Linked DNA regions of Neodiprion lecontei. The protein of the gene in region 1 purifies or fractionates together with the protein of each later gene. This does not show direct contact. Links are inferred from orthologs where the notes say so. Each region holds a gene or a part of one and is shown on either strand. Other genes may lie near its edges.

Evidence for each region.
Region 2: the proteins of serine/threonine-protein kinase PRP4 homolog (region 1) and pre-mRNA-processing-splicing factor 8 purify together in Homo sapiens (affinity purification with mass spectrometry; 4 studies listed by BioGRID and IntAct, with this or other methods). This does not show direct contact. The link is inferred for Neodiprion lecontei from reciprocal best matches to the Homo sapiens genes PRP4K and PRPF8.
Region 3: the proteins of serine/threonine-protein kinase PRP4 homolog (region 1) and U4/U6.U5 tri-snRNP-associated protein 2 purify together in Homo sapiens (affinity purification with mass spectrometry; 3 studies listed by BioGRID and IntAct, with this or other methods). This does not show direct contact. The link is inferred for Neodiprion lecontei from reciprocal best matches to the Homo sapiens genes PRP4K and USP39.
Region 4: the proteins of serine/threonine-protein kinase PRP4 homolog (region 1) and U4/U6.U5 tri-snRNP-associated protein 1 purify together in Homo sapiens (affinity purification with mass spectrometry; 3 studies listed by BioGRID and IntAct, with this or other methods). This does not show direct contact. The link is inferred for Neodiprion lecontei from reciprocal best matches to the Homo sapiens genes PRP4K and SART1.

The regions. Positions count from the first base shown.
Region 1 is NC_060261.1:1,567,898-1,572,591, forward strand, and holds the start of serine/threonine-protein kinase PRP4 homolog, read right to left. Parts: upstream 3,004-4,694; 5' UTR 2,886-3,003; coding exon of another isoform or gene 2,881-2,885; intron 2,574-2,880; exon of another isoform or gene 2,537-2,573; 5' UTR 2,460-2,536; coding exon 2,416-2,459; intron 2,324-2,415; coding exon 2,159-2,323; intron 1,978-2,158; coding exon 1,695-1,977; intron 1,571-1,694; coding exon 1,098-1,570; intron 1,026-1,097; coding exon 338-1,025; intron 208-337; coding exon 1-207. Other genes in the region: uncharacterized protein LOC124293103, read right to left, coding at 4,397-4,694. UniProt on the Homo sapiens protein: Serine/threonine kinase involved in spliceosomal assembly as well as mitosis and signaling regulation. Connects chromatin mediated regulation of transcription and pre-mRNA splicing.
Region 2 is NC_060264.1:1,831,796-1,836,415, forward strand, and holds the start of pre-mRNA-processing-splicing factor 8, read right to left. Parts: upstream 3,019-4,620; 5' UTR 2,819-3,018; intron 2,329-2,818; 5' UTR 2,309-2,328; coding exon 2,089-2,308; intron 1,901-2,088; coding exon 1,732-1,900; intron 1,639-1,731; coding exon 1,474-1,638; intron 1,364-1,473; coding exon 1,148-1,363; intron 773-1,147; coding exon 434-772; intron 190-433; coding exon 84-189; intron 1-83. Other genes in the region: complement component 1 Q subcomponent-binding protein, mitochondrial, read left to right, coding at 3,436-3,652, 3,813-3,963, 4,049-4,251. UniProt on the Homo sapiens protein: Plays a role in pre-mRNA splicing as core component of precatalytic, catalytic and postcatalytic spliceosomal complexes, both of the predominant U2-type spliceosome and the minor U12-type spliceosome.
Region 3 is NC_060260.1:4,204,704-4,211,056, reverse strand, and holds U4/U6.U5 tri-snRNP-associated protein 2, read right to left. Parts: upstream 4,359-6,353; 5' UTR 3,467-4,358; coding exon 3,385-3,466; intron 2,999-3,384; coding exon 2,720-2,998; intron 2,646-2,719; coding exon 2,470-2,645; intron 2,401-2,469; coding exon 2,175-2,400; intron 2,105-2,174; coding exon 1,818-2,104; intron 1,726-1,817; coding exon 1,597-1,725; intron 1,517-1,596; coding exon 1,455-1,516; intron 1,364-1,454; coding exon 1,141-1,363; intron 1,075-1,140; coding exon 1,015-1,074; 3' UTR 967-1,014; intron 791-966; 3' UTR 519-790; downstream 1-518. Other genes in the region: glutamate receptor ionotropic, kainate 2, read right to left, coding at 5,457-5,546, 5,844-5,900, 6,037-6,297.
Region 4 is NC_060262.1:28,400,345-28,408,024, forward strand, and holds the start of U4/U6.U5 tri-snRNP-associated protein 1, read right to left. Parts: upstream 6,019-7,680; 5' UTR 5,933-6,018; coding exon 5,770-5,932; intron 5,435-5,769; coding exon 4,983-5,434; intron 4,702-4,982; coding exon 4,573-4,701; intron 4,401-4,572; coding exon 3,981-4,400; intron 3,755-3,980; coding exon 3,592-3,754; intron 3,514-3,591; coding exon 3,239-3,513; intron 3,156-3,238; coding exon 3,068-3,155; intron 2,947-3,067; coding exon 2,748-2,946; intron 2,550-2,747; coding exon 2,363-2,549; intron 2,110-2,362; coding exon 1,955-2,109; intron 1,715-1,954; coding exon 1,687-1,714; 3' UTR 1-1,686. UniProt on the Homo sapiens protein: Plays a role in mRNA splicing as a component of the U4/U6-U5 tri-snRNP, one of the building blocks of the spliceosome. May also bind to DNA.

The DNA.
Region 1 (4,694 bases):
GGATTTTCGCTTTTTCATAGATTGTTGAGGTGATTTTGGTTTTTCTGGTAATGGTGGAGTGTGGCTCTCTGAGTTTGATTCATTATTGTTTGAAATAATATCTACTGATTTGTGGGACTCAACTGACACATTGTCTGACGGTGGTGAACTAACTACTGTGTTCAACTCCATTGAGAGATTTGAATCTTCGCTTGGCCCTCCTAACCTCTGTAATACACAATATAAGAATCTGGGTAACACAATGTGGATGCATGCCTACTCGATTGCTTTGGCACGACCAAATTCTACATAAATTCTTCTCGTAAAAATCGATAAATTGTGGAACCTGGATACTTACTTTCAGGAGTTCTTCTCTCTGCTTCCTTCGCCGCTCGATAATTGCTTCCTCATCTTCCTCTTCTTCGATATCAATGTCTTTGATGTCCTCTTCGCTGGAACTCTCCGAATGTTCTACCTTCAAACCCTCTGACAAGGAATCCTTGTACTTATCATTTTTGTCTCGTTTGCCATTCTTGTCCCTCTCCCGCTCACCATCGCGTCCATGCCTATCTCTATCCCTACGGCTTCTAGAGATAGATCTAGACCTTCGATGACGGTCCAGACGATCTCTGTCGTTTCTGTCAGTTCTATCATTCCTGTCATTCCTGTCATTTCTGTCGTTTCTCTCATTCCTCTCGGCTCTCTCATTTCTGTCATTTCTGTCATTCCTGTTTCTCATGGGACTTCTAGACCTTCTGTTACTCTTTGACCTTTCACGTATTCTATCGTGATTTCTGCTGTCTCTTCTTTCCCGACTTCCTTGTCTCTCCCGATTCAATTGATGGTCACGATTCAACTGACGTTCTCGGCTATCCCTCTTCTCTCGACCAGAGAACCGGTCCCTACCACCTGAGGTATCGTGATTATCTGATTTTATAGTACGGTGTCTCGAATCTGACCTTATGTCTCTGGCCTTGGATCCATTGCGAGGTGAAGGTTCTCGCCTTGTAGCGTGCCTATCAGAATCACGTTTGCGCTCTTCTTCCCTGTAATAAAAATCAATCTATATTCATTACGAAAACATCGGTAGTTGAATAACATCAGAGGTCTTAATTTACCTTCGTTCATGATCTCTCTTGCGCTCTTCCTCCTTCTTGAGCATTTCTTTTCGCCTCTCGTCATCCAGTCTCCTGCGTGATTCTTCACGTCTTGCATCCTCTTTAGCCCGTTCAATTGTCTTTCTCGATGTCCTGTCTTCCCGCCTTGGTTCGTCTCTACCCCTAACTTTGTCATCTCGTTTGCGGTCAGTATCTCGTCTTTTGTCCTTCGCCTCCTCGCGACCCCGTCTGTCTCGGGACATATCAACAACTACACGCCTCTCAAGTTTTGAAGAGGGCACTCGTTTTCTCTCTCTACTTTCTGATCTACTCCTTGGACGCTTCTTACGGCATATGCTATCCTCGCTATCATCTTCGACTAGAATTATATCAGGTGTTTCAGCCACTTTCATTACACCTTCCTGCAGTTGAGTTTTACCCTCTTTTTCAGAATCATCAGATAAATATTGCACTAAACATGCCTGAAGTCTTTCCTGTAAAGAAAACAACAATAATCATTCTTTTTTTTTTATCACTCATGATTCGTATTTTTCAATAATAACCCTACATGAGTTATGAGTATGATTACTGAGAGAAGGACAAATGTACTAATTTTACCTTCTGTTTCATTAATTCCTCGAGATCAATGTCGTCTTCGATAATAGTACAGTCAACTTCGTCCGAATCCAAGTCGATTAGTTTTTCATCTTCACTTTCCTCAGAGGAAACTACCTCAAGTTGCGAAGCTTGCACTTTGCCATTCATGTTGGTCCCTTTAGGAACATTTGTATTTTTATGGATGTTGGATGACTTGACGTCAACTGGGAGTGGCTTTTCTTCAACAGAACCATTTTCATTGTCCCTGCTCTTTTTTGGACGTTTGTGCTTTTTATGTTTCTTTCTAAAAAACATACTCTACAATGACATATGCAGGCATAACAATATCTTGGCGTTATCATAATTGTGTCAAATAATCCCTTTTTAAAAACTATTAAAAATTTAGGTATGGTTTGTTTACAGGTATAACAATCATTATTATTTATCTTCAGAACTAAAATTACAGAAATGCTTGATAGTCTTACCTTTCTTGCCGATCAATCCTTTCCTCTTTCTCCACAGTTTTGTCCTTCTTGTGCTTGTGATGTTTGTGCTTCCTCTTCTTCTTTTTTTTCATTTCGCCTAATACCGCTATATCAGACTCATCCATCGAATCAGTTTTTGGATCAATGCATTCCAAGTCCGAACTTCTAGCAATGTAAAACAGATCACAGAATTTATAGTAGGGAATCAAACTAAGCTACCGCTTATTAATAATTAAGAAATAACAGATATTGACTACCTAATACATAGTTGAGAAGATTCACAACAGCAGTGAAGAGTCATTTGCACGTGTGGATTAAAATCCGAATCCGATATATCAGATCTGAGCTAAAGTATAAGGTTGTCTGCTCTTCGGTTTCCTTGTTTGACATTAAGAATTGGGGAGCATAAACTGACCTTTAAGATCGCAGATTGCTAGGTTTTAGGTTTGGTCCAGATATAATTAGGTATGTTCGAATTGTGGTAAATTATATTAAAGTATGAGTACAAAAAAACGGAGGTGTTAGACGAGAAATAACTGCGCCAACAGTCTCAATGAAAATGATTAGATTTTCTCAGAAGTTTACGATGAATTAACGAATGTATTTTGTTTCGGGGCAGCCAAAATAAACACATGAGCGTATTACGAGCGATACGAGGGCAATTATGAAAACTAATCGGTACATCCAGCCAAATTAGGATTAGAATTAAATGTCCAACTCACCCCATCTTGGCTTTTCCAAACTATCACAAAGAAAATCCCACTTATTAAACCGCAAAACGATTCTCGTACGTAACGCTACTCTCTCAACAGACCGCCATTTTCATTTCCGTTCTCCTCGGCCGCACAAGCTTCGACTACTCGCCGAACGACTAACAAGATATAACGTGTATTTCCGGTTTAAGGATCAGAATCCGCGGGAGGTTGCACAAGCACTTTTTTATCGACGGAGCTTCTTCAGATTTTCCGACGACGTATGACTTTGTATTTCTCTAGGTATTTCAAATTGCGTTTGGCGTTTACAACTGATTCCTCGATTGCCTTGCACAGAGCCTGAAATCTGCTATAGGCCGACTGGTTCCCTGTTTGGTACTGCTTTCAACCACAGTACGTCTTTTAACTGCTACAGTCGCGGCTAATTCGCAGTTCACCGGTGACGCCGCCGCCATCTTACATTGTGTTACATTTCACAAAGAATATGATTTATCATATTTCTACACATGTTATAGGATGTATGTTAACATTATTGAAAGTTTAATTAATGCAATTGTAAAATTACCCCTTTGATAATCTGAAAGTCACAGGTACTTGATAAATAAAAATGATTTTCAGAATTCTTATAATTATCTCAGTTTTTGCAATGAGTTTTCTGGAACCACGTACTTTAATTAAAATTACTCTAATTACTTTTAGCCCTGTACCCTTAGGCTTCTGTGAATTTCATCATCACAAGGAAACTCTATGAACCTGCATGGAACGCTGAGTAGGTCCATCTTGAGTATACGCGTAGGCCATGACTAGGGGTGTAACAGGTGCAGGCAGGAAAATGTGGTTCTTAACCGGTTTTGGAAAAATTAAAATCGAAAACGTTGGAACAGAAATTTGTATATCATTTTTTTTTTTAAACATATTAAAGATATATATATATATATATATATATAATATTGTTGAATTATATGTATTAAATTCAATTTACTTCAGATTACTGTTCTGGATTTTTTTCTGTGGATTCTTCAAATCGTCTATCATGAAGCAAACTGGGTTTATGTTTATGAACGATGTTCTGTCATTGTATAACTTGGCAGCATATTACACGTATTACAGCATCTCCTGATATCATAACGTTTGAATATTTTTTTGCATGCACGTCTGCTGATTTTTGCATCCTGGGCCTAAATTTGCAAGTCGTCTTTGGCACACACGAACAATGGTTGAAAGCAGTTTTCCGCATAGGCTGGCAGCATATTGTACCATATTCAAATGCATCACCTTATTCGTGTCTTCATTTAATCAGCACCACCTTTGATTCTAGCTTGGCGGGGGTTGAATTAAGAGTTGACTGGTACTGACAACCTAGTGAAAATGAGCCAACTATAATACAAAATACTGATTATGCATACTAACTTTTCCCCAATTTCTGTAAACAAAATATGATTCAAACAACGAATAGTAGTAATGAATATGATTTCAATACCTGTTTAGTCAGTGTGAATGACAAAATCCTTGTCTTAATTCAGTATCAAAGCCCATGCCCGTTTCCAGTTTCTTTGATGTCAGTAGTTTCTCTCTTCGGTACATACTTTTTCATTGTTCGTTGTCGAATTTTGTGCCGTTGCTTGAAACGTTTCGCCCATGACTCGGAAGCCTGGAATTTTAATTCCGGAAGTTGGCTGGCAGCAGCGAGACCCCATTGCTGCAAATTTCTTGTTGTAACAGGTTGGTTCGATTGTCGAGCTTTCATGAAACGATTGTAAGTGCAAGAGTCGATTATTTTGTATTTATCTTTGGTGGTACCACCACTGGTAATCTGTTTCTCC
Region 2 (4,620 bases), on another chromosome or scaffold:
TGAACAGGGATGTCGACGTGGAACAGCTCGAAATCAAATATGATAATCTCTACACAGCATTTATTAAAGTGCAATGGATGTACCTTCAATGAATTTCGGTGTGAAATCGGGTTGATCAATGGGTCAAAATAAAAGGCAGGTAAATCTGGATCCTCGGTCTTGATGTAGACAACGTTAGGAGCGTGGTACCTGCGACCAGGATGTAATTAAACAAATACAAGGATAGTACTGTTAAAGTTAAAAATTTGTCTGTGATTTCAGCAGTCGCCCTCTCTCCTCTACGAGGGTGACGAATAACGATCACTAAATATTTTACCACACGGCTAGTAAGACCACATATAATTTTAATATTGTCTTAAAACTGGTGTGGATATCAATATAATAACAGAATCTTCAGAAATTTAAAAAATAATCTGCAAGTAAAACTACCTACCACGAAAGATGAACGAAGTGTGGCATGTTGTTGTACAGATAAGGAAAAGCGATACGATATTCCGTACGAATTGGTTGTCGGATGATTATTTTATTTATGTCGTTGAACTCGTTCCAATCCTCATCAGCAGCATTTGAATCCTTCACAAGGGGCTCAAACTTAGGACCGCCAGGAATGGCCATGTTCAAAGCTTTTGCAGTAAAGAACGACTTTGGATCAAAGAGGTAGAAGAAATTTTGATCAACCAAATCAGTCAGCAGCTGATTGGCCAACCGATATAATGTTGCCATTTGTGGAAGGGACAAGTTCCACTTACGATAAGTTGATCCATTAACATGCCTGGAAATTATTAGAAAAATTTCGTTGCATGAAATAATTTTGGTCATGTTTCTTCAGGCTGCTAAATTTTGAGTATATACGTAAGTCTATTTCAGATTAGCGTTTGATCCAATCACAACGTTGCATTTGTTTTATCTCAGACAAGCAAACAACAACGCTGCAACCGTCAGACCACATGAATGACTGATTTCAGGACCCCTACGCGATTCATCATGAAATTGGTGTATAAATGACGTATATTGTCAGGAGTTGGGCAGCAGGTCATATATTGACGCCAAAGCTGCGAAAGGTCCTGATATTGCTAATGAAATAATTCAGTTCACTTTCAAGAAAAATTTCAGCTGAGCTCAGCATCATAATCAAGCATTTACTTACTTCGTCCCAACCAAAGGTTTGTGCTCGTAAAACCATGTAGCAACCGATTCGTCTTCCTCCGAGTCAAGCTCGATTTGTATGGCTTCCAAAGGCTCGACATCCAACACATTGTCTGCATAATCTAGAGGCGGTTCTTCGTCATCGAACGGAGGAAATCTCATTCTTTTGAAATGTCTTCTGTCTCGTTTCTCACGCCTCATCATGATCCACATTGTTCTTAAAATTAAATTCACTAGATTTTAATCACGATCAAACATTGGGCCGAAGTAATTATTTGACCTTTTTTTCTCTCTTAACAAAGAGCTGGAAATTCTTTAAAAACTCACCCCCACTGAGCGATATAGACTGGTTCAATGACCCATGGAATTTCATTGACAAATGTGATGGCTCCGGTGATATGATACAGCACTTTGACGTCCCGAATTTGTTCCCATGGCATTGGCATGTTTTCCAACAATTTCATCACAGCATGAGGCATGTATTTCAGAGCACTGTAATTAATATAATGACCGTATAACAAAAGGTGAAGACAAAATTACAAACAAAAAATAGAGCTTCATTGAACACTGATACACGATAATTACCCCAAATAAACACGTTTGTCATGTCTGTATTTTCGGCTGCTCATATCTCCATGATCTCTAATAATCTTCCTTATGTGCTCAGGCGGCATATCCTCCTTCTGAGCATCGACGAACCCAAATTTACGTTTTTCCGCAAAACGTTTGGACTGTAATTGCTGCCACTTTTGAGCTAAAATTTGCAGAAAGTGGGATAACGAAATCAAGTTATCTAATCATATGTGAACAGTTTTCATCAATGAATGTTATTTGGAAATATATCAATTTTTTAGATGTTTTCTTCAATCACTAGAAAATAATACACATGCGTAGAGGACCTTTTCTGTCTTTCCAACATTAACAATAATAATCCATTCTTACCTTTTTCCTGCAATTTATCTTCGGAAATAACTTCGGGCTGCTTAGGCAGCTGCGGTAGCGGCGGCCCAGCCATTGCTTGCATGTGAGCATGATGGGCTGCCTGAGCATGAGCCGCTGCTTGCGCGTGAGCTTGCGCAGCTGCAAGCTGAGCGTGAGCCTGCTGCTGGGCCATCATGGTGGCCCATGGGTTTGGGCCCAGCAAGTAAGGCGGTATAGACATTTTGACGCTGACTTATTTAGCTGAAAAGAAATTTTTTAAATCTTTGATCAATCAGCTAATTATTATAGAAATTATGAGTTGAAAAAGTAGTATAACTAGACGTAAATGAGCATATAAGAAATCGTGCCAATTGACCTAGATATCATACAATCCGAATTAAATACGTGAAAGTAAATCAATACGGAAATACAATGTGGCAAGAAAATGTCACGTAATCTGTCAATCATTTACAGAGTTATTGAGTAATAAAAATGCGGCGTTGAGGCCTGTAAATACACATCCTTTGGTTATGGTTGACTTCCATTGTCAAATTGGGATCTTAAAAGCTTTTATTACTTTTATTCGATTAGTGAAATAATTATGATATTTTTGAGGTTATATAAGCAAAAATTTCCGCTTAGTGATCAGTCAAAATCGACGCCGACCGTTGATTTTCATTGGCGAGAATGCGGTGAGGACAAAAATCGTCAGCCATTTTGATCACGAGAATGTCGTGAGTGTTGTATTTACCTTGGTTTCTGTTGCAAATAGGGTATCGCTAGTTGTTCAGCAACATCGCGCCCAATTTGCTCTTCCAATTAATCAACTGGTGTTATTTGGCACCTGATTTTCGTCCGTCTATACGTATCTTTGCGAAACGTATCTCCTACGTTTACAAGCCGACATGCCGAACGAAGACGAAATTACTCGAATACTCGAAATCAGTAGCGCCGCTACAAAATGGCGGCTGCGTTTACTAAACTCTTTGTAACACTGAGTCGACTTCCGGTCACTAAGGTTACACGCATCAACCGTCGAGAAAAATGCCTGCACTTCGGCGTGGAAAGTCCACTGAAAGTCACATTATACGATAATAATTTTCACCCCATATCCGCGTCTAAGTATACCTGACTAGTTTGTGGTTTTGAGCTCACCTTAGTGAACATCCGGTCGGCGAACAGGGTAGAGGCAAGTATGGTAGAGGAAGACGAGAATACAAGAGTGAACGTAGCCTTGACGCAACCTTTTCCGCGCAAGGAGTAGCTTGATCGCGAGCCGTGCCAAGTCGTGCATCAGCCGAATTTTAGAAAACAGTGTAAATTAATTACAACAATTATCAACGGCGGTATAAGCCAGAAGACAGAAAGATGAACGGATTAGTCAGAACCGCTCTGAGGGCCTCAACTCTCAAGGGATTAACACAATCTACCGTTGTTGTCGGCGGCACGGCACGAAGGGATTTCGCAAGAACGATGTGGAACATGTGCAGCCGGCAAAACGAACTTGCACCACTAACGAGTTACAAAATTCAAAATCCCAGCGATTTTTGCAGCTGCGGCTGCTCCCGAAAGGCACACACCAAAGGTTAGGGTCATTTTTCAATGTCACCTCGTAACTTCTCCGCCCGAAATATAATTTACTATTATTATTATTATTACTATTATTTGGTTTTTTTTTTTAGTGATAATTTTCTCTCTATTTATTCAATTGCAATTTTTTGTCATTTACATGGTTGATGCTATAGCGGAGAAAGAATTGGGACTCTTTTTAGCTGAAGAAATTGTTGCGGAAAAGAAGGCACAAAAAATGAAGACCATTCCCACAGAGTTAGACGGCTTTAAGATATCGTTAGATGGAGCGGAGGTTACGCTCACCAAAAAACATGGAGATGAAACGTAAGCCAAAAATTGTTTAGCGATCTTCTTGCTATAGTTATTACAATTTTGTGACAAAAACTTGACTGAATTCGTAATTTTTTAGCATAACGATAAATTTCAATGTCAATCATACTGTCGATTCTGATTCTGAACCCGACATTGACACCCCAGAAGACAAGGCTGAATTTGGAGAAATGAAAAGCAAGCCAAGCTTCGAAGTTGATATTGAAAGAGGAAATCAAACTCTAGGGTTCACATGTTCATTCAATAATGAACCGCAAGCTTCTGGTGCCGATGATGGCTACAGTAAGTTTTTTTTTCCCTCCCATGGACCAAATTAAATTTTAAAAAAATCTCGCCATTACGAAATATTGAAGTTACATTTTTTTCTTTATTTTCAATTTGACTAAATTTACGCTGCATTCTGTTTTAAAATTGTGGTTGATCGGACGTGAATGGTATCCAAAGCGTTGAGTACAAATTGACAAACTTTTTGTCTTTTTGATAATTTACCTTTGGAAAAGTAAAGTGCTACCGTTGGCATTGGGTAATATCATAAACAACGAAATTATCTCAGTCACGGTGGATCGACAAACCCTTATAAAAGTGCAACATTGCAACTTACGTAAATAGAAAAATGAAAATTAAACAGAGTAGTAAGTTCACTACATGAAA
Region 3 (6,353 bases), on another chromosome or scaffold:
CGACCGCGTGTAAACACGAATACCTTTATCTTTCGATGAAACGAACTCGCGCACGGCTCGGAGCCGACTCAAGACTCGATCGCTGCCGAGAGTTCGGCGTTGTCCCGCCGCCTTGCGCGTCACGTCGAGCCGGGCCGCGCTGGAGGCTTCTGCGCATGCGCCGATAACGCGTTCGAAGCCGCGGAAGGTTCGCTTTCGGATATGTTTTGAGGAGCTTTTACGCCGGCTGCACGCGATCCGAAGCTCTGACGGTTTTTAAGAAATTATCGTATCGCGTGACCTCCGACGACTACCGAGCGATGCGATTTTCAAAGGTTTTATAGCGATTTATTGGCCACGCGCGACTCGTATAGACTCGATACTTCCACGTGTATCGAACAAACGACGGCTACGGAACGCAGTGAAGCGAACTGCCGATCCCGGGGATCCTGTTTCCAACTCATTTGCTTCTTCTTTGTTTTTTCAGGTTCAGGATTGACTTGGCAACCCTGCCGGTATATTCGAAGTGAGGCACGACGTTATTTTTTAAATCAGATTTTTGTTTTAAAACATCAACAATATCTGTAAATAGATTAATGTATCTGAATATCGTACATTACGTCTTATCCTCTTCCTAATATCGCAGCCGAACGATTGCTGCTAATTTCCGGAGTCTTCAAGGGCACGATTACTCGTAAAAAAAATTGAAAGTTGTATTCGATGGGTAATAAATTGCGTCACCAGTATCGATTTACTGTTTTTCTCTTTCTTTGCCACCTTAGTTCAACGACCCGGAGCGTGCGTCATCTTTCTATAAATAAAAATTACTATTCAGCCTGAATGAAAATCCTTGGCTTTCCGATCGATTGGTTTGAAAGTAGGGACGTTTCTGTGTGACACGATTTTTTACTATCCTTCTCTCCTCGTTTCAAGACACTCTGTGTGGAGAAAAGGTTCAGTGGCTATTAATTGTTTAAAATATCGTACTTTATTAAATGGTTCATTAGGCGTCCTCCTCCCTGTTTGTACAATTATTTATTTCGCTGTCTGGAATCCTTCGGTTTCGAAGCCAGCTTCTCTCCGTAATTCATAGATCTGCAATAAATTGGTGTGTAAGATTATGAAGTTGCATTACGGTCATCAGGGTAATGATATGCTTACCTGAATGTAAGCTTCAGTCAACGTAATCATTTGCGGTAATATTTGCGTCACGTGTAAATCCTGCATCTCGTACCACTGGCCTGTCCCTCTGTGCAAAACGTGAACTCTGTACGTTCCTTGACCGGGCTCACCGTCGTGAACTATGTTCGCTACCAAGTCGTACGTCGTGTACGGGTGTCTAGCCTTAACTTCCGGCGTGAGGATATCACCGAAATCTACATTTCTGCAATGTAATTTGGGGAAAAAATTATTTTACTCAAATGTAATTATTGTAATTGCGTTATTGAAAAGTACAAAAGCAAGCAAGCACTCACTTGACGGGAAAATTAACGATGGTGGGATTCTTCTCGACGAAGAAAGTATTCTTCGTAAATCTCTGTAACGTGTAAAAAAGTTTTTGGTATCGTTTTTTTAATTTTGAATAATTAGTTCGTAAATCGTATTTTATTCACGTACCTTGATGTACAAAATAAGATAAGGTGGTAGTTCGGTGATTTCAAATCTCTTCATGAAATTTTCCTTGTACGTTTTATACTCTTTTTCGGCTACTGCATTAAACTTGTTTAGTAATGTATACAAATTCACCTGTCAATTAAAGAATAAAATTACCAAAGTGCCCGATATTGAATGGAACGAGTTTTACGTGATGACCAACAATATCGATTTGCCTTGCTAACCTGAGGAATGATATTTTCCGTAAATTGGTCCTTGAAGAGCGGAGGTGGGGGCAGATCGCAAGTCAGGTACAAGAAAGGGCTTTCAGTTACGGTTTCTCCATACTCGAGTGTATTCAGAAGCTCACTTCGTTGACTCTCTTCCAGTTCTAGTGGCGGTATTTTCCGTGTATAAATCCGCATGTGGCCAAGAAACGTTTTGTATATAATGCTAGAGTCTTTTTTTTTCGTCCCATTTAGCGCCAGATGCAACGCGTTGAGAAACCAGGACAGAAAATCCACCGGATCACCTGTGGCGCAAAAATGTGAGTTCACCATGACAAGAAACGTGCGTATAATCATCGTAAAAATCTGGACAACCTTGTTCTGTGAATTGGAATCTTTTTTTGCTCCACAATACAACAGCTTGAAGCATTTCATGCGGGCTGACATGAGCCTTGAAATTTCTGGGATTCCATAACTTTCTCATCAACTCTCCGAACCTCTGGACTAGAAGGTAAGACGAATCTCCTGGCGGTCGTTTCACATGGGAGTAATTATATTCTCTCAGGAAGAAATCTCGCAATGGAGTAACGTGAGACAAAGCCTGTACAGAAAAATATATCGAGGTTGCTTTTCGCAAGTGTCATATTTGGCGTTGATTGTCCAAATTTACCTGCAAAATGACGTTGCAGTAATCATTTGCCTTAATGTTGTTCATTCCGACTATTCCGGGTGAATACATCGAGCCATCTATAGCTCTGGATAATTTGTCACTTTTGTCCAACTGAGAAATTTGCCATTTATCAAAAGTAGGATTTAGAACGTACTTTATGTCGTCAAGGGATGAATCTGTAAACATTAGCAACAGGGTCAGGGTTGAGTCGAAATCAGAAGATTTATATTATATAGGTATGTCAACTTACCGACAATTTCATAGTTGTCCGGTAAACAATAAAATTTAAGCGTGTGAAGATTAAGAAATACATGATGACTTTCAGCGACGCTATGAGTATAGGCGTGAGTGTTAGTGCCTCTACCTTGGAAATATTTACCACAAACTAAACAAGCGTAAACGTTGATTCTGGAAAGAGACACAGAACACAATTTCTCAAAATCAAAATCCAAGAATTGACGATTGATCGTATCGAGGTAAGGGCACAGACGTGGAGCCTCTGAGTTCGATCTATAGGTTTTTTGCTGCGCTGTAAGAAAATAAAAATGAACCACATGAAAATTGATCGGTTTGTAAATGATTTCGAGATACCGAGGCATGAAAATCGAGATACCAAAGTCATTCAATGAATTATACTCAAAGATTCAAGGTAAGGTTTGTCACTTGAGATAATAAACAAGTTTCCCGAATTCGGAATCACTTACTACTGGCAAAAACGGATATATTTGCTGTATGTCTAATTGGGAATGAGGATAATTGATGTTTCAATCAAGTAATAAAATGCAAGCCGAACGTGACGAACTTGTAGGTTAGTTTAGGTTATGTGCCGTTGCGTTGATGAAAAACTTTTTACTCGGGCAGACATATTATCACAAAAACAACGGTATTATTTATTATTTGAATTACAACAGTTACCATCGTTATCGTCGTCCGAATCACTGCCGTGTTCCACTAATTTCCTCTTTAGTTTACTTCCCTGTTTCCTGGACGCCATCATTGATGTTTGTTAGTTTTTCGACCTCCGACCATCGAGGTTCTTCGACTACCGATGAATAACTCGAGAGTCGAATGAAACTTACTTCGAGTCGGTTCAAATACTGACGAATTTATCGGTAGTCGGTGAATTTGCCAAATGCGGACTTGCTAAATAATGAAAATGTATAGTTATCTTCAGTAAACGCTTTGCGGTACTTACCATCCGGCAAGTAATGCATAATACAGGGCGTGCTTATCATAGCGAAGTGCCGCTGTAGCGGTCGAAGCAAAACAAATAACAGACATTAACGATTGATGTTGTTGCAGCAAGAACGAGAATCTAAGAAACTTTGACTACCCAAATATATTTCAAAACATTAATCATTTATCATTTACTCAACTAGCGCATTTCCATTGTAGGAGAGAATCTGGATTTACAAGAGGGATGAACCAATCGCACTATATTTGCACAATCATGCGTCAATGCGATAAGATCTATACTTAATTTACGTAATCATTGTTTACCGAAGTTGCAAAACATCGCAGCTGTAGAAATGAAGAAATGAAAGAATAGATTGGTTTCTCTCGATTCAATAGAAAAACAAATTCGCTGCTTGTCTATTTTACCAATACGCAATAATTATCGATTTCAAAAATGACTTCGATAAAACTTTTTTTCCTTTAATGAAATGATTTTTTTTTCACAGAGATTTTTAGGAAGTTGATCGTCGAACGGCAACGTATCCACGGTCTCAATCGTATCGAGTGACAATACGATCGATCAATCCTTTTTGTGAATCCATGTGTTCAGTTTTCCCAGGGATATTCACCAGTAGATGATGAGTAATGTTTGGGCTAGATTTCAAGCACACAAAGTTTGTTAAACATCTATTTATGCTGCAATACTTAACATCGTTTGGTAATTTAATTCGTTCGGTTTCGACCACTACATTGGCACTCCACTATGGCTATTATTACGCTTTGTGTAACGATCCACTTTAGTATGTATCGATACCCAGCCTGCGTTTACTTAAAATTTAATAAAATTGAAATAATTAAAATTACATTTATTAAAAGAATTAATTAAAATTAGTTCCAAAAACGTTTTTCATTTTCGATTATTTTTCCGCATAATCGTACAAGGAAATACGAAAAAAATACCATAAGCGGAATGCAATTCTCACGGATTATGCAACGTATATTATACCTGTATCAATATGAATAGCCTAAACATAATTATCTGCACAGCTCACACGAATGCAACATGTATAGATGTGTGTAAATATTATAAGTTGTACTCTTTAATACTAACATTCATCGTCTTATTATGATATTACACAATAATAATTACACATTTAAATTCAAATGTATAAACTAGACAAGTTCTCGCTTATCGTTATACATACTAAATCCGTATGTATACATCTATACCGACTATTTATTTACAATAAATATATATCATGATCGCGATTTGGATTCGTCATTACCATTCACCTGTATATTATATTGTTCGTTATACACGACGTGTAAAACACGTCATGTGTATCAAGAGGTACTATAGTTCACATGGTATCGTCGTTCCAACAATAACAATCACAATTTCAACTCAACTCCTCTAAATCGTTTATAATTACATATTACAATAATTCTGTGCAGTGAACTCAATTGTACTCGGCTCTGATCAATCAGCAAACGTGAGTTGTAAATCCGTTTATAGATCTGAGACAATTGATCTGGCAAAGGACGGTGAAACCACGAATAACTGCCTGAGATCGTACGGATTTATCTACCGCGCGTGTACCGACCGCATTAGAATGTACCAGAAAACAGAATTAACGCTTACGGTTGAACGCCTGGAAAAATGAATAAGTAATAAACGATTGAAATGACATAGTTTTGCTCAAGTTTACGTAAAGCGTGAAATTTTCAACCACGCTAGGAGAAAAATTCGGGTGAAAATTTTTCAAAAGTAAAACGAAGAATGACGAAGAACTTCGGACTTGTTGCCATCTTCAATCGTAATCAACGTCGAAGTCGTGCGAAAGTCCGTGATGCATGTGAATGTGGGGTGGAAGGTCGATGGCGCCCCCCAAGCTACTCCTCTGAAAAAATTTCAAACTTTTTCCCGTTGTGCGAAACTTTTTATACACCTACAACAATGCCGATTTCAAATGGGATTTGTTTTTTCTCTTACAAAATTACACGGTTATCGTGGTACTGTACATACTCAGTGCTTTACAAATTAATTTATACGCAGCGATAATTGCGACAGCTTTATTTTTCGATTAGCTGGGTGTAAACTAAAAAACAAAAGCTACAGGTGCAGCGGAAAGCGAGTTCGAGAGTTTGAAATAAATAAATAATAAGAGAACAAAGAAGAAAAAAAAAAAAACACACACAAACCAACTGCAGGAACGAGCAAACTTCCATCGATACAAACTCTTTCGACGTTCGATCTGCGGATGTTAAGCTGCGCGTTGAAAACCGGCGATTGATGTAATTGCAAATATCCTAGAGGGTTGATTTCATCTCCAGGCATATTCGAATCGCATGCATTTCCAAGGAAGACGTTATACGCATTTACGAAATCACCTGTGACCTCATCCCGTTAATCGGTGTGGGGGTTTGATTTTCTTGGAGGTAACCAGATCCTCTGTTTGACGAGCATTTTTCGCATCCCCGTCTTCTGCGCTTTGAAGAATTGCAGCGAATCGCCAGACAGAGCTCACGAGCCATTTCGGAGCACAGCGATTCCTGGGGGTTGGAATTCTGCTGTTGCTGTTGCTGTTGCTGTGTTGCCTGAGGAATGCCTTGCAGGGAACCGGAGCAGGTCGGAGGTCCCGTTGGCCGTTGCTGCGGGATAAGAAGAAAAAAGAAACGCCAACGTTTCATAAGTTCCTGCGAGCGTA
Region 4 (7,680 bases), on another chromosome or scaffold:
GTAAATTTTGAGTGCCAATGATTTTTTTATAGCTAATAATCAACCAACTAATGAACAATGCCAGTGTATACACACAAATGGACTTTGAAACATAAGAAACCCAATTTTACTTTTAGCTTTTTTTTTTCAAACCAAATTATAAAAACCGCTTCTACCAAATCCCTAGACCAGTTTGTATAATCTTTTACATTTTTAGGCAAAATGAACGTGTCTGTAACTGCAGACATCCGTTTTGAATAGCTTTTGAATCACAAATGCGTATAATCGATCGAGATGCACAAATAAAGCTTTAATGCTAACATTAATGAACGTATGCTTCATAATTGTTATTCATTAGCATAAATTTTGTAGATCCATTGCTAATCACTATCTACATTAGATATATGTGACGGTTTTACATATGCAAAAATAACATTCAGATATTTCCCATCCCGAAAAGTCCGACTTTTTTATACTCCGAAGTTTTTGCAAACATATCTCGTGTAAATAGTGATAACAACTAGGGTAACGATTTTATGTAGAAGGCTACAATCAATCATACAATGCAGTGTAGCTAGTAAGAAACCTTTATAAGTATTTGTTATAGTTTTAATAAATGTGAACATTAATCAAAACGTTGTATTCTTCACTGTGATTCAATGTATAATTTTCTTAATAACATAATTCGAGAGTCTGGTAATGACATACAAAGTCGGATGAAAGTCCAAGTTAACGATAAATTTCAACGTCGGCATGTGTAAAATCAACTATGTATTCAGGTAAGTCGTTTATTTATTATTGAAAAAGGTTTCATTCGAGTTTTACATATACATGCATGCAAAGTGAAATAAAATGAAGGTGATCAGGTCTATTGATTGCTTGTAATCTGCAAAGTAATAACTAAAATTCCTTGCACCTAAATTGTTTTAAATGACATTTATTAATATATACTTAAAATTCAAGCATTTCTGATATATGTGTAGCAAACAGAATATACGATTTTCGGAAGATATCACTTTTTCCACGAGGCGGAATTTTTGGACATAGAGTTGAAGTATAAATTTTGCGACCAAAAAGTAAATGAACATCCTAAATTTTGGGTCACTAATTTTATTATTCTTTTTTTTACACTTTTACTATTTGTTTTAGTTTACTTCTTCGTACATTTTCTCTCAAAATTTCCTAATCATCAGTTTATGCTTCGAATATTTGTATTGCTATAGTGAATCAGTTTTCATTATTTAGAAGATTCCAGTTCATACTTTTCAAATTTCTTATTTCCTAAGAATAAATTATTACGGTTTCAATTGAATAATTGATTTGACACTGTAATGCAAACAATAAATTCTCCTAGTTTCGGTAGAGAACTCATTATCTACCGAAATTAATTTATGAACTTTAATAATTGTATCATGATATTGTGACACCTCATTACGGTGTTAAAGGTAATTGTAAGCGTCTAAACAATGGAATTATACACACATTTAAACATATGAAATTGTAAATAATACAAGGATAAAAACGGGTTTTGTATTATAAAGATGATCAAAATTTTTTTAATAGGATCTGCTGATTTATGTAATATTCTAAAGATACCTGAGAACTGAGCTTTAGAACACTCACCCTTACGCAAACCTTATCAGAGATTTAATATTACATTATGTATAATAATGTACATCTTGATTTTCCATCTTTTAATTGATAATTTTAATGCTTCGTCTTTGATATGCTCGTCCTGAAAATCGTTATATGAGCACATTACCACCAGTTTATCCATGCCTTCAGATTCTAAGTGAGTATCTTTGTGCACAACATATCATAATATGATGCATTGAAATTATTACCTACACCAAGTTATTGGAGGAAGAATTTTCTATCACACATCAACTATTGGAATGTACCGAAACTTTTCACGCAATATAAAATTGTATTAACCAAGTTATTTCCCATGAATAGCATATTGTGTAAAACTTACGTTTGCAACTGCTTGCTGCCACTCAGCACAATGTATGGAGATTGTGTTTCTTTTTGCTTAGCTTGCAATAGATTAAGTGTACCTAGTGGAGTATCAGTAGAAGACATCCGCTTCATCAATACTTCTTGCTCAGATTTCTTCATTCTCTTTTCCACCTAGTTATAAAAAGTATTAACAATTCATGGCATGAAATTATCATTGATTCATCAATGATCAGAATATACATATATAATTATATTACGCATTGCATTCAAAATCGGGTAAATAGCAGATTTATTGCAGCGCTACAAAATAGTAACTATTATAAATGAAATTCTGAATTGACATTTCCTATTATAAATTTATAAAGCTTAATATCATTAGCATGCATTGTTCTACATAAATAGATTAAAATATTTTTCAATATACCTTGTTCTTCCCAGGACCTTTACCATGAAATTTATGAGAAAGATATCGGAATGCTTCCTTGGCACTCAAAACGTGTCCATCATCGTCGATATATTCCAACTTGACATTGGGCTTAAATCCGTCTCGTTCTTTGAATTCGGAAGTTGGTCCATTAAACCTATCTCTTCTGCCAAACTTGTCATCATCCCTGCATTTATAAAATAATTAATTGATCAGAATCTTCTGAAAACAGTTACATTCAAAACAAATTAAATGGGTAAAAGTGTACAAAGAAAAGAAAAAAAACTGAAAATAATAGTATATTGGTTTAAAATAATGATTATTGTTTTATTTTTTTATCTTTGAGAAAATTCGAATGTATTATAATATCAAATATAGTACTTACCCATAAGTTTTATCTTCAATAGAATAATTTTGTGCCTGTAAATGAGCAAAACGGGATGCAGAAGGTCTGTTAGTATCCTCTTTTTGTAAATAACCTTTACTCATTGCAAGTCTTAGAGCACCGCCTACACCCTGTCCAAGCGATGGTTCTGCATCCAAAATTGCAGCCTCCAGTGTTATTGGCTCAGCTGCAGCTTCATCTTTGAGGTATGGGTAAATTTTGAGATTTTATTGAAATACTGATAAGGCATAAAGATAGTTCATAATTAAACAATTATCAGGAAAGGAAGTAGAACGTTAGTCAAGTAAATGCATTTTTACCTATTTTTACTGTATTCCAAGCTCCACGGCCATCAGCATCTTCTCCATCATCTACCGTTTCATCTTTGATCCCCTCAGCCTCAAAGTCCTGATCAACATGATGAACTGTTGCAATACTTGTTATGCATTGAAAGATTTTGAGTAGATAAATAATTACTAGAAACACGTTACCATGAGTTCTTGAACATTTTCTTCCCTGTTTCCAGCAAGCCCGTAAGTTGGAATGTCTCCTAATGTTCTACAAAATTCAGCAGTCGCATTGAGTACAATATTACCAACTTGATTGTCATTTGAATTGTCAATTTCTTGTTTTATTGTTTGAGCAACTTTTTCTACCCCAGTTTGACGTGCTAGTTTCACACGTTGTGCTTTTTTCAATGCCAACTGCCATTCGAGTTCTCTGTCATCATCTTCAATTTTAACACCCGACAAGTCTTCACTTGTATCTAAATTCCAAGGAAAATGTAATTGATGTAAATTAAATTAAAGGAAGTAGGGATTATATTGTTGAAAAATAAATTTACTTTCTGTATCATCGACATCCATAACAAGATTTTCAGGATCCTCATGATCCTTTTTTTCTTTATGTCTTGAATTCCTTCGACTTCCTAAATCTCTGAGATAATCAGTTGTATCAGGAACAAGATCGTCTGCCTTCAACATCTTTTTCTGTCTGATTTTTCGGATCTAAAAGTTGCAATTAATATAAACCATACTCTAAACACTAAATAAAATGTTCAGATAATTTTATTTTTATATTAAGTTCCATTAATCTATTGCTTTATTTCAGTATCAAGTCACATGATCTATTTTTTCCTATTTACCATGATTTTAAAACGAAAAATTATATAGAACTGACTAAATTGTTAGAATAAGTTGCGACAAAAGGTTTAGACGTTGAATACTATCTTACTTTTTTCTTGGGTTTCTTAAACTTTGCCAACTCTGCATCAGTGTAATATTCACTAGCTAACTGTAGCTCTGGCATCCTTAGTGTTTCCAATTTTTTGTTCGCTAGGCGGTGTTTTACAATTTCAGTTTGTCGTTGTTTTCGTTCTTTAGCATTATCATAACCAATGGCAAAACTTTCCTTCTTCTGTCCATCTATCTCTTCATCATATTTGTCTAGAACCGTTTTCACTGGGAATCCAAACTCATCAAAATTGTCTTCATCATACGCATCGTACCCAGGTTTTTTAGTTTTATTCAAATTACTGCGCGAATAACGCTCTTCGTCCAGCATATTTACGTTTACTAGTACATCTTCATGCTCATCTAAAACTGCCTGATCTTTGAGTGTCAGTACAAGGGTCTTGCCCTCCTCAAAAGTATCCTGTAACAAAAATAATTAAATTTCGATTTAATCATTACATGTTATTAACAAAATAAATGCAATATTTCATGGAACATGACTATATTAAATTTACAACTGCTACATTTGAAACCCATAATAAATCCTAATTACAGTAAAGATTTTTCAATTCGACAGAATATATCAAACTTACCATGTCATGTTCGACTTTGAGCCCTCGTAAATCTTTGTTCGAGTAGGCTGAACGACGTTCACTTTGAACCTCTTCCTCAACAAGAGTACCTATACCGAACTCTTCGTCCAACTGATCCAACATTTTTGCCTGAATAATGAAATTAGAAATAGTCTTTAAATGGATAGATGATCGTGCTTGACTTTCTTACATGAAAGTTTTCAAATACACATTATTAATATAATACAAGAGTGGTTGGCTCTACTTCAAGCATTAAGATTATTTAAAAATATAACATAAAATACTAATAACATCAAATGCAAATTAATTATTACAGCATTATTTCATAAGTATTTTAATTTTAAACTTGACGGTGCTGGCATAAATTGAAATAATGCCTTTAAGCTTTAGGTCAAGTATTCTGTATTTACCCTTTCATCAGCCTTCTTTTTCTCCAACTGAAGGAGACGGTTTTTTTGCACCCAAGCCTTGGCGTCATCATCTGAATCGCTTTCGCCCAAAGTTTTGAGTTTTGAAAGATTGGATTCAATCTGTCGTTTTTCCTTCTGCGTGTTCAGTCTATCTTTGATCTTTTGCGTTTTTACTTTATCGCTAGTATTTGGTGCTGGCTTGTGATAAAATTCTCCTAAATCATCTTTGATTTTGTTAGGATCATCTACAGAGGTAGTACTGGTCTCTAAAGGTTTTAGACCAAGCTTTGCTCGTAACTTATTTGTTTCTTCAACTGACAATGATGTCTGCGCTGCTCCTCCTTTGGTTGGAGATGCACTCCTTTGACGAGATATTTCTGGAGGAGGTGGTGGCGTCAGTGCATGTGGTATTCTCGATATTTTTGGAGGTGGTGGAGCGCTGACAATTTCAACTATAAACACAAGAGGATAGTTTCTTAATACACGATATTATTAAGTAGTATAAATGTACATTAAATTTGCAACTATACAATATAAAAGTAAGCGCTAATTCAACTCAATAGCGCAATAATTTTTACTAATAGACTTGGATTAGTAGTCCTCTGAAGTACATAGCACGAACATTACATTGTAAAAAATATATGAGAACTATTACGGTTTTAGGGTAGCTTTGAACAATCAGTTTTAAATCTATGCATGTGTAGGTGTTTTGGTGAAGGTTTGTTACCTTTAAAGGTGTAGGATAATAGTTACGTTTACGAAGGAAAAAACTAAAAGAGGTTAGTACCATCGCTGTCGTGATCCTTGCGTTCTCTTCTTTTATGTTTTTTGTGATGCCTATGTTTGTCGACTTTTTCACGTTCTATAGAGTGCGATCTAGAACGGCTGCGATGACGTTTTTTCTTAGTTTCACGAGTTTTTTCAGTCTTGTGCCGCTTATTAGATCCCATTTCTTTAATCTTAACACTTTAACCTATAAATTTAACTGAACGTCGAACTTCGTCTTGTGTTGAATAGACTTTATCACGATCACGAACTACTCCGTGATCATGAGATACATACAACAGAAATTACGTGTTCCACTGATGTGTTCGTAAAATCAGTGGCTGGCCAAGGTGACCTTAGAGCATGTAGAAGGCGAGTAGCTAGTTTTAAGTTTTCCCGCCTACACGCGCGACTCAATCTGGCAAGCGGTTGATAAGTAGCGGCGAAACGAACTGATGTTACCATCGCTCACCGCGTGTACGCAGATAATGCAGTGAAATATTCTTATACCTATGGAATGACGAACGGGAACAAACTGATATTTTCATATAACTCCGTATGGACGCCGTATACTTTTCAACTACGCAAATTCATTTAGGCCAAATTCGGCAATGTCAATTTAACTCCATCGGATCGACAAAATTGATGTCATCTAAATAGGCGCACAATAAACATGCACCTGATTTACTGTTAACAAAGTTAGAAACCTTTTCTTGATGCGAAGGATGGGAGATATAGTCGAAGAAGTTAATCAAAGGATGGAGATATATATTTGTTCCTATATGTACCTTATGTAATTTCTGTACATATTTTTAATACTTGACTTATACGTTTAACTGAAGATAATAATATGTATCTTCAGTCAAGGCTCATATCTTTATTCCAAAAGAAGATGCAGCTGACATATCAAAAATTTTTCCCACTCAATAAGTCATATTTTTTATTCCAACTGATTTGTGAATTGCGTTCTTGACGAATCACTTCCTTTAAATAAATTTATATGTATAATGTGACAAAACATTTCTCTTGTTCTTTTTAATTGAGTCTAAGATGCCTTTCTTTTTATATATGTGAATGTAATAATTTGTTGAAAAAAATATTTAACAGTAGATTCAGTTAAGTGGTCTAGAAATCAAGCGGGTATACAAATTTGTCATAAAAATTTTTAAATAATTTTCTACAATACACATCCAAAAGCGAAGACGGGAGTTAATTTCTTACTCTGCATTCCATCTTTTACAATGGGGCTTTTAGACAGATCACCCGTATCTCGAACATACAAAATGTGAATATAGTTCTTTTTGTTATTTTTAGTACCCGGTTAGTACTCTGACTAAACTAGAGAAATCCGAAAGTATTACGATTCCACACGCGTTACACATTATCGAAGCACGAGTTTTATTGACAATGAGTTAAATTAACACAAGATAAAATTTTCATTTGAAAAACTATAATATCTTAGTATTTGACGAGTGAAAATGAGTTCACTTATGCTCGTTTCCACACCACCGCAAGCGGTAGAGCACCCGGCGCGTTTTTTTTTTACGTGGTATCCCCAGTAGGCCTACTCCACGGAGAATACTTGCAAGATCGATCTTACGTTCTTCGAAAAATTTCAAATTACTTTTTTCATACGTTAATTACGGTTAAATGATTTTCCCAATCAATTGGTACTCGCATATGTTTGCAGTTTGTTCGAAACTTTTCAGTTCATATGACCCGTTAACTATTTATTATGGATGAAAGATGACTGTTTTAATTATGGATGAAAGATGGTTGTTTTAATTATGGATGAAGGGCGATTGTTTGTATCTTATTTTTGTATCAATAAAACTCAGTTACCTAGAACAGATTAAAATAGAATTAACGAAAAAAGGACAGTTTAATTAGTCGAAACAGACAAAAGGTTTGATTAACTGAACCCGACAAAAGT